Oryzias latipes: one gene and its partner. The protein of the gene in region 2 binds, or shares a complex with, the protein of the main gene of each other region. Links are inferred from orthologs where the notes say so. Each region holds a gene or a part of one and is shown on either strand. Other genes may lie near its edges.

Evidence for each region. Proteins that work in one complex are often made in the same cells at the same time.
Region 1: the proteins of plekhm1 (region 2) and map1lc3c are in contact, whole or in part, in a crystal structure (PDB 5DPW), measured with the Homo sapiens proteins. The link is inferred for Oryzias latipes from reciprocal best matches to the Homo sapiens genes PLEKHM1 and MAP1LC3C. Residues at the interface, in NP_055613.1 of Homo sapiens: Glu632, Asp633, Glu634, Trp635, Val636, Asn637, Val638, Gln639, Tyr640; in NP_001004343.1 of Homo sapiens: Phe13, Arg16, Lys17, Glu25, Ile29, Phe33, Lys36, Pro38, Asp54, Lys55, Thr56, Lys57, Phe58, Leu59, Val60, Pro61, Glu63, Leu64, Ile72, Arg76, Phe114.

Annotation. Positions count from the first base shown.
Region 1 is NC_019859.2:738,218-741,795, forward strand, and holds map1lc3c (microtubule-associated proteins 1A/1B light chain 3C), read right to left. Parts: upstream 2,026-3,578; 5' UTR 1,937-2,025; coding exon 1,876-1,936; intron 1,802-1,875; coding exon 1,746-1,801; intron 1,676-1,745; coding exon 1,569-1,675; intron 793-1,568; coding exon 630-792; 3' UTR 513-629; downstream 1-512.
Region 2 is NC_019877.2:16,171,703-16,175,267, reverse strand, and holds part of plekhm1 (pleckstrin homology domain-containing family M member 1), read right to left. Parts: intron 2,155-3,565; coding exon 1,674-2,154; intron 1-1,673. UniProt on the Homo sapiens protein: Acts as a multivalent adapter protein that regulates Rab7-dependent and HOPS complex-dependent fusion events in the endolysosomal system and couples autophagic and the endocytic trafficking pathways.

The DNA of each region.
Region 1 (3,578 bases), on a different chromosome or scaffold from region 2:
ACAGATGTTAGAGTCCAGTGAAGTGGTGCTGGTTCTGATGGACTCTACCGACACAGTGACCCGGTTTGGGTTTAAGGAGGAGTCACTGATGGGGTTCTGATGACCATTTCTGTTCTGGACCTCTCAGCTGATCCAGTCAAACTCAGAACACAGACCAGGTTCTAGAGCCCCCCCCCCCCCCCGGGTGTGTGTGTGGGGGGGGGGGGGGGTGTTCTGTCTGGGCTGGAGGTCTCCGTTCCCCTCTTCTTGGAGCTAGACATTTACTCCGATTACTTTGTCAGGAACTGAAACGCGTTTGAGGCTGAAGAGTTCCGACCCGACCCGACCCGTCGCAGCGATCAAAGACCTTCCTTCATCCAGGAAATGATCTGAACAAACACGGCTCCATCCTCAGCTCCACATTCTGGAACACAGCCGGTTCTTTTCCATCAACCCTCACATTTACAGACGGACCTGAACGCAGCGCAGACCGGACGCCGTCTGTTCAGGTGAAGGAAAGTCCTGCAGACGCCTCACTGCTCAACATTTATTGCTTCATCTTTAAAAGTCCACAGAAACGTCAGTTTATAAAAATATTTTCTATTTACAGCAGATTCACAGCGGAAGTCCGTAAAAGTGCGGCGGCGGCGTCAGCGTCCGAACATCTCCTGCGAGGCGTAGGTCATGTAGAGGAAGCCGTCCTCGTCCTGGTGGTCCTTGTAGACCTGGGCCATGGTGAGGGACATGCTGGGCAGCCCGCTGCTGTTGATGAGCAGGTAGAAGGCCTGGCTGGGCAGCAGCGCCATCCGGTTCCTGCAGAGGGAGGGGCGTCAATGTGCAGCTGTTCCAGCATACTGGATTCTGTTGACATCTGAAAACAGATTAAAAAGCTTCCAGGTCCACAGCGCCACCTGCTGACCAGTCATTTCCTCACATCTGATGCTGAATGAGGACAGGAAGACATTTTATTCTGAAAAGCTGATTTCCTCCATGAAGCCCAAATTCTGGATGGAACTCCAACAGATCCGCAGTTTGATCAAAACGGTCAGAAATCTGCTCTTCAGATCCACCCCAGAACTTCCCAGATCCTCGTTTTTCAGGGCTCTGCAGGACAGAACCGGACTTTGGACTTTAATCTGCTAATCCATAATCTGGTGTCAGATTACAGCGGCTGAAGGAGCAAACAGACGGCAGCTGGAAGTCAGATCAGAAGTGTCTGCAGGTTTCAGAAACTCAGGAGGAAGAAGAGGAGGAGGAAGAGGAGGAAGAAGAAGAGGAGGAAGATCTGGACATCTGTCACCAAAACTTTTCAGAGAAGAACTGAACCCAAAGTTCTGATCCACACAACGGAAGACTTTCAGAACCGACTCAGCAGTCAGAACTTGGATGAAGAAGACTGAGCAGCTCATCTGGGTTCTGGATACCCCCACCCCCTCTAAAAGGTTTCTAAGGAGCGCGTGCCTGCAGTGTCACGTGATGTGTCTCCTTCAGGAACAAACAAAGCTGACCCATTTATGAAGAAAGATAATTGATCTTTTAAAACAGCCTAGAGCACGCGCGCACGCACGGCGCGCTCTCTACAGACTCACCTGATGATGGTGACGAACTGCGTCATGGTGAGCTCGTGCGGCACCAGAAACTTAGTCTTATCAAGGGGGGGCAGGAACCTCTCCTTGTCGTAGCGCTCGATGATGACCTGGGGGGGCGCAGCAGCTGATTGAGTGGGAACGAACAAACACCTTTGCGCGTGACGGCCGCCTACTTACCGGGATCTTGTTCGGAAATTTGGATTTAATTCCCGCCACCTCTTGTTTCCGCGTGGCTGCGCGCACGACACAAACGGAGCGTTACGTTAGTGGCAAACTGTGGCGCGTGCGTGAACGCGCGAGGCCTTACCAAAGCTCTTCCTCTGTTTGAAAGGTTTGCTCTGCGGAGGGATCTTCTCCAGCGGAGGCATGATGGAGCGCCGGGTCGGAGACAGCGCGCGGACGAGCCCGCGTGGGGCTTAAATACGGGCGGCTGGAACACATCAGCTGATTGCCGCGTGTCCACGGGGTGGGCGTGGTCAATACGGGTCTCTGATCAGCCGGAGGTGGGGGGGTCCTCACTGTTTGAGAGACCTTTATGAACGTGAGGTGATCAAAGTGAAAAGCCAGGTCACGTGCGCGCAGGTCCAAGCTGGGATGACCTCTACAAGGTCACGTGCTTTACTCTCCTTATTTACACACACACACACACACACGCACACACACGCATACACACACACACGCATACAACAATACACACATGTAACCACACACAATTGCTGATTTAATTTTAAACCAAACTTATGATTCAAAATATTCTCACAAAAACATCACAGACAGAATTGTTCTTCATCATCTTCATCCTCAGAGTTCAGTTCTGTTTAAATGAAGTCCGTTCTTTGAAATTTTCATTGTTGTTGATCTTCGTTTCAACTCTCAGAATGATCTGGATTTCCATCAGTCAAAGACAGGAAAGTGCAGACAGTCAGCTGGCGGGTCAGTGACGTCATGGCGCAGGTAAGAAAAGTCCAAACATGTTATTATTAGTACTTTCAAAATAAAAGTATCCTTTCTCATTGTGACTATATCTTCCAGAGGTTTGCGTACAAATGAACCTGAATGGCGTTGGGGGGGTCAACTGGTGCTGGTGACGTTTATAAAGTTTTATTTACCTTCACAGGTTTAGTCTTTGCATTCTGGGAATATTTTGTCTAAAAAACAGATTTTACAGACTGCATCCACATAGAAGCCTTATACCTCCTCAAGTTTATTTATTCATTTTGTTCATTTCATCCTGTTGAGTCTTCAAACCCCCACTCTGCTACTGGTCTATGGGGAGGGGTCAGAATACCCCCCCCCCCCCAACAGATGTCTTTGAAAATATAAAATTCATACCAATACAAGAATAAATACAGTTCTGAATACGAGTAAACACTGTTTTTAACTTTTGAAATATTATATTTATAAGCTATTGAGAGCAAAAAATAAGTAATATAAATTATTTACACAAACTTGAGACATAGAATACCGAATAAAACATTAGGGAGCGTTATTGTTTGGAAACCTTTCATTTCATTGATGGTATTTTATTTTGACAGTGCAAAGCGGTTGTGACGTAGCATCCGTCTGACAGGCTGCGGGACTGCGTGGTCCACAGCTCGCGCGCGGTTCTGGATGGATTTTCCTCCGCGGAGGATTTTCGAGCGACGCGGCTGACCCACCGGACCGAACCAGCGGCTCCGTGGTCCCGCCATGATGGACGAGCACGCGGGCCCCGGGGTGTTCCTGAGCGGCGGCGGTTCGGGCTCGGCTCCGCATCTGGGCTCCGTGAGCGGCGGAGAGGCGGCCCGCGCGCGGTACAGCGTCCCAGGAATCCTGCACTTCCTGCAGCACGAGTGGGCGCGCTTCGAGGTGGAGCGCGCGCACTGGGAGGTGGAGCGCGCCAAGCTGCAGGTGAGACCCGCGCGGTTCCGATAATGTGTCCAATTGGACGCTGGCATGGGCAGGTCAACCTGTGCGCTGACGTCACTGACCTGTGCAGGAGCGGAGGTGGCCGCAGATCCAGAGCTGTTT
Region 2 (3,565 bases):
TTTTCATTGTCTGTATCAACAACAACAATATAGTGTTGCGACGTTCTTTTATTTTTTCAGTCGGAGGAAGCTCTCTGTTGTTGAGAAAAAAAAACATAAATTCATGTGCTTAATTATCCGGTGTTTTAAACGAGCCTTGTTGTTTTTATTCCGAAAATGATTTATGTTGACTTAGAAAACATAACATTAAAAGTTGAAAATAATTAAGTCTATATTAGAATTCCAGAAAGTTTCAGACACTATTTTTTAGCTTAACACCAATATTGCAGCTTAAATTTTTCAAGTTTTTTTATTTAGGTTTCAAATCTTTATGGACCCAATTTGACTCAATAGATATTGTTCTGACTGTTTTATAGAGCTGTGAAAGAAAAAAGTATTTTAATTTTGAAATGGATACTTGTCCCTAATAGATCCCTGGCATTGGGAAGCTTATGGTTTACCTTTATGTCTAATAGTCAGTAAATGGTCTGAAAGTTTCAGATATATTTTCAAAGTTTTACAGTGATACTTGCTGACATCCCTGTCTGTACGTTAAAAACGTCAGGTACAATGTAAAGGTACAGTAAACAAGCAGATGTGTATTTCTAATAAAAAAAACAAACAGGAAATCTTAACTTTGGGTTATTGTGGACTAGGCCTGCACAATAAATCGGTAATTTATCGTTATCGCAATACCACGCTGTGCAAAATGCATATTGCAAAAGTCGGCAAAAATTGAAATGAACGGTTACCTTAAATGTGCTAAACCAATCTTAAGGCAGCTTGAAGTATTTAACAAATCAAATAAATCCTTTTATGCGTTTGACCAATAGGATGGAGTCCTTTATATCATTAACCAATCAGATAGATCCCTTTTATGTTAGATGCTAGGCTCCTATTTAGACGAGGGTCATTTGGAGTATAATTTAAGTTATGTTGACTGTTATTTAAATTAAACTGTTGCAGTGAAACGGAACAGATGTATTTAGTTGTTTTGCCATATGTTCATTTACAGTATAGCAAGTTATATCGTCATCGCAATATTGACCACTAATATCGCAAACCGTGAGTTTTCCTCATATCGTGCAGCCCTATTGTCGACACTAAAACATTGGCATCTGCTAATTTCGGCTATCGGCCACAGTTGCAGATATCGGCTCACCCCTAAAATAAGCCCGATCTCTGGACATCATCCATGTCTTCCATGCATTTTAAATGAGATATACAGTCGATGCTTCCATGTCGCGATGAGCCTAAATCTTTATGGTAGCTTCTCCTACACGTACAGGAGAGTCTCGTTAATGAACATTTTTGGACAAGCATTGAGAATTGGAAGAAAGAGGCAGTGGACGCAAATTTGGAACGTAAATCGTATTTGGTGTAGACACAACATTATGCGAAGCTTGGCAGAGTTGTTCAGAAGCATTGCACTTTTCTCTGAAAATGTGAGACATTTTTGGCTGCTGCGACTTACACTCCAGAGCGACTCAAAGTTCGAAAAATATGGCGCATACAGTAAATCGACACTACAGAAAAAGAGTCAAGTAATAGCTTTGAAATTTTCTCTACGGAAAAACCCAAACAGCAACTGAGAGGTAAACTCCATTCTGCCTGTTAACCATGTGGAACAATCACAAACTGTTAGGAACCAAAACTGAACCTATTTCATATATCTGCAAATGCATTTTACTCACTGGGAGTGACTCTGAGGATGATTTCCTGCTGACCATGCTACTGGAGCGCAGAGAACTTTGATGCTCTTGAGTTTTGGTGGTGCACTCCTCTAAGGTATCGCTTTGCGTTGTGTCCTGGACAAGCTCGTTGCTCCCTCCTTCACTTTTCACGTCCTCTTCCTCTACAAACACCTCACCCTCATGGAGTGTGGAAAGCACAAGTGGGCACAAGTGTGCTTCGGAATTAGCACCATTGCAGATTTGGTGCTCAACAGGTTGCTCTTCATAGGAAGGCAAATCCAGGGATGCTGGTTCTGGCTCTAAGTTATAACTTGGGGGTTGATCCAAAGGATGATGGAATGGCTCAGTAAGACCTTGGGTCTCGCTATCGCTGAAGGTGGCATTTTCTGAGAAAGGATCGACTCCTGAGCTGGAGACAAACGAGTCTTCGCCCATGGAGTCCTGACTGCAGTGTCTGCTCTCTTTGTTTTCAGACAGCAAACTGCAGAGAGAAACAGACACAAAAGGACAGAGCTTCACCCAACTGTTTATGTTCTACAACCATTTCTGATGATGACGATAGCCAATAATGAAAGAAAATGACAGAGTGGAAGGATAAGTGCAAACTTCACATAAACAAAAAAATCCTTAAAGGCAACATTTCCCACCATTCCTCAAACATGTTACAGATTCAGATACTGCATTTTAGATGTCACCAATTCCAATCAGAACTTACATTTAAGTTTTTTAACAAAAAAAGTGTTAAATAACTGAAAAATCAATAGGTGGCTCCTATGCAGAACCCACAATATGACATATTTTCAGTTGTTTCACACTTTTCTGTTATGTACATCATACCACATGTGTTAATTCACAGTTTTGATGCCTTCAGTGTGAATCTACAATTTTCACAGTCATGAAAATAAAGAAAACTCTTTGAATGAGAAGGTGTGTCCAAACCTTTGTTCTGTACTGTATGTAAAGACAATTAAGCTCAAAATTGCATTTCTGTGTTACTTTCATAAAGTTGTTGTGAATCAGGAGCAGACAATTAAATGCCATTTCAAAATTGTCTTATTTGTGACATAGAGGGCCACACCGCTCTGCAACGGGGAGGGAAAAGGTTGACGAGTTCTTCCGCGCCAACAGTCCTGCCCTCAACTTAGAGGTGAATTTATAGTGAGCTGCTGCCACTCTGCATAAACTAAATTCTAAAAAACAACACCTTTTTTGTGGCTAAAAACGATAATCATAATTAAAAGACCACTGGGAACGCGTTACAAAAAAAATAAAATAATACATTGCCCATAGGAAAAACCACCAAGAATAACCTCATGAAAGATCCGCTCCGATAATCAGTTGATCAATTGTAAAAGCGTTCCCAGTTACGATTCTGCAGTTTTTAATCAATATCAAAAAACTTGTTTTCTAGAACATACTTTCTGCACTAGTTGTTAATTAGGAATTCACCTGAGTTGGGGCGGAGCAAGGTCGTTCCCTTTTCCCTTCCTGTTGCTGAGAGCTCTTTGTTTAAACGCACTCTCGCTAGCTTACAGCCCCTTACACCCCCAAAATAACATTAGCGGTGCAACAGACTTTGTGAAAGGTATTGGAGCTATCCAGTCATACAGATTAGAGCCAGATGCCAGCTCGGAGAGGGACAACAAAGACATACATGAATCTATTTGTCTGCAGGTGGATGCATCAGAATGAAGCGGAGCAGGGAGTTTGTGGCCCGCCCAGCATATTTTTTACATTACAAATAAGCTCTTGTTCCAACAGTATTATTTTTGTCTGCTCCTGATTCACAACAATTTGAATAAAGAAATAATTATAAATGCTGTTTAGAGCTTAATTTTCTTAATATATCTCTTTCATCACCAGAAAAAATCCAACAAGAACATGTTAAAAAC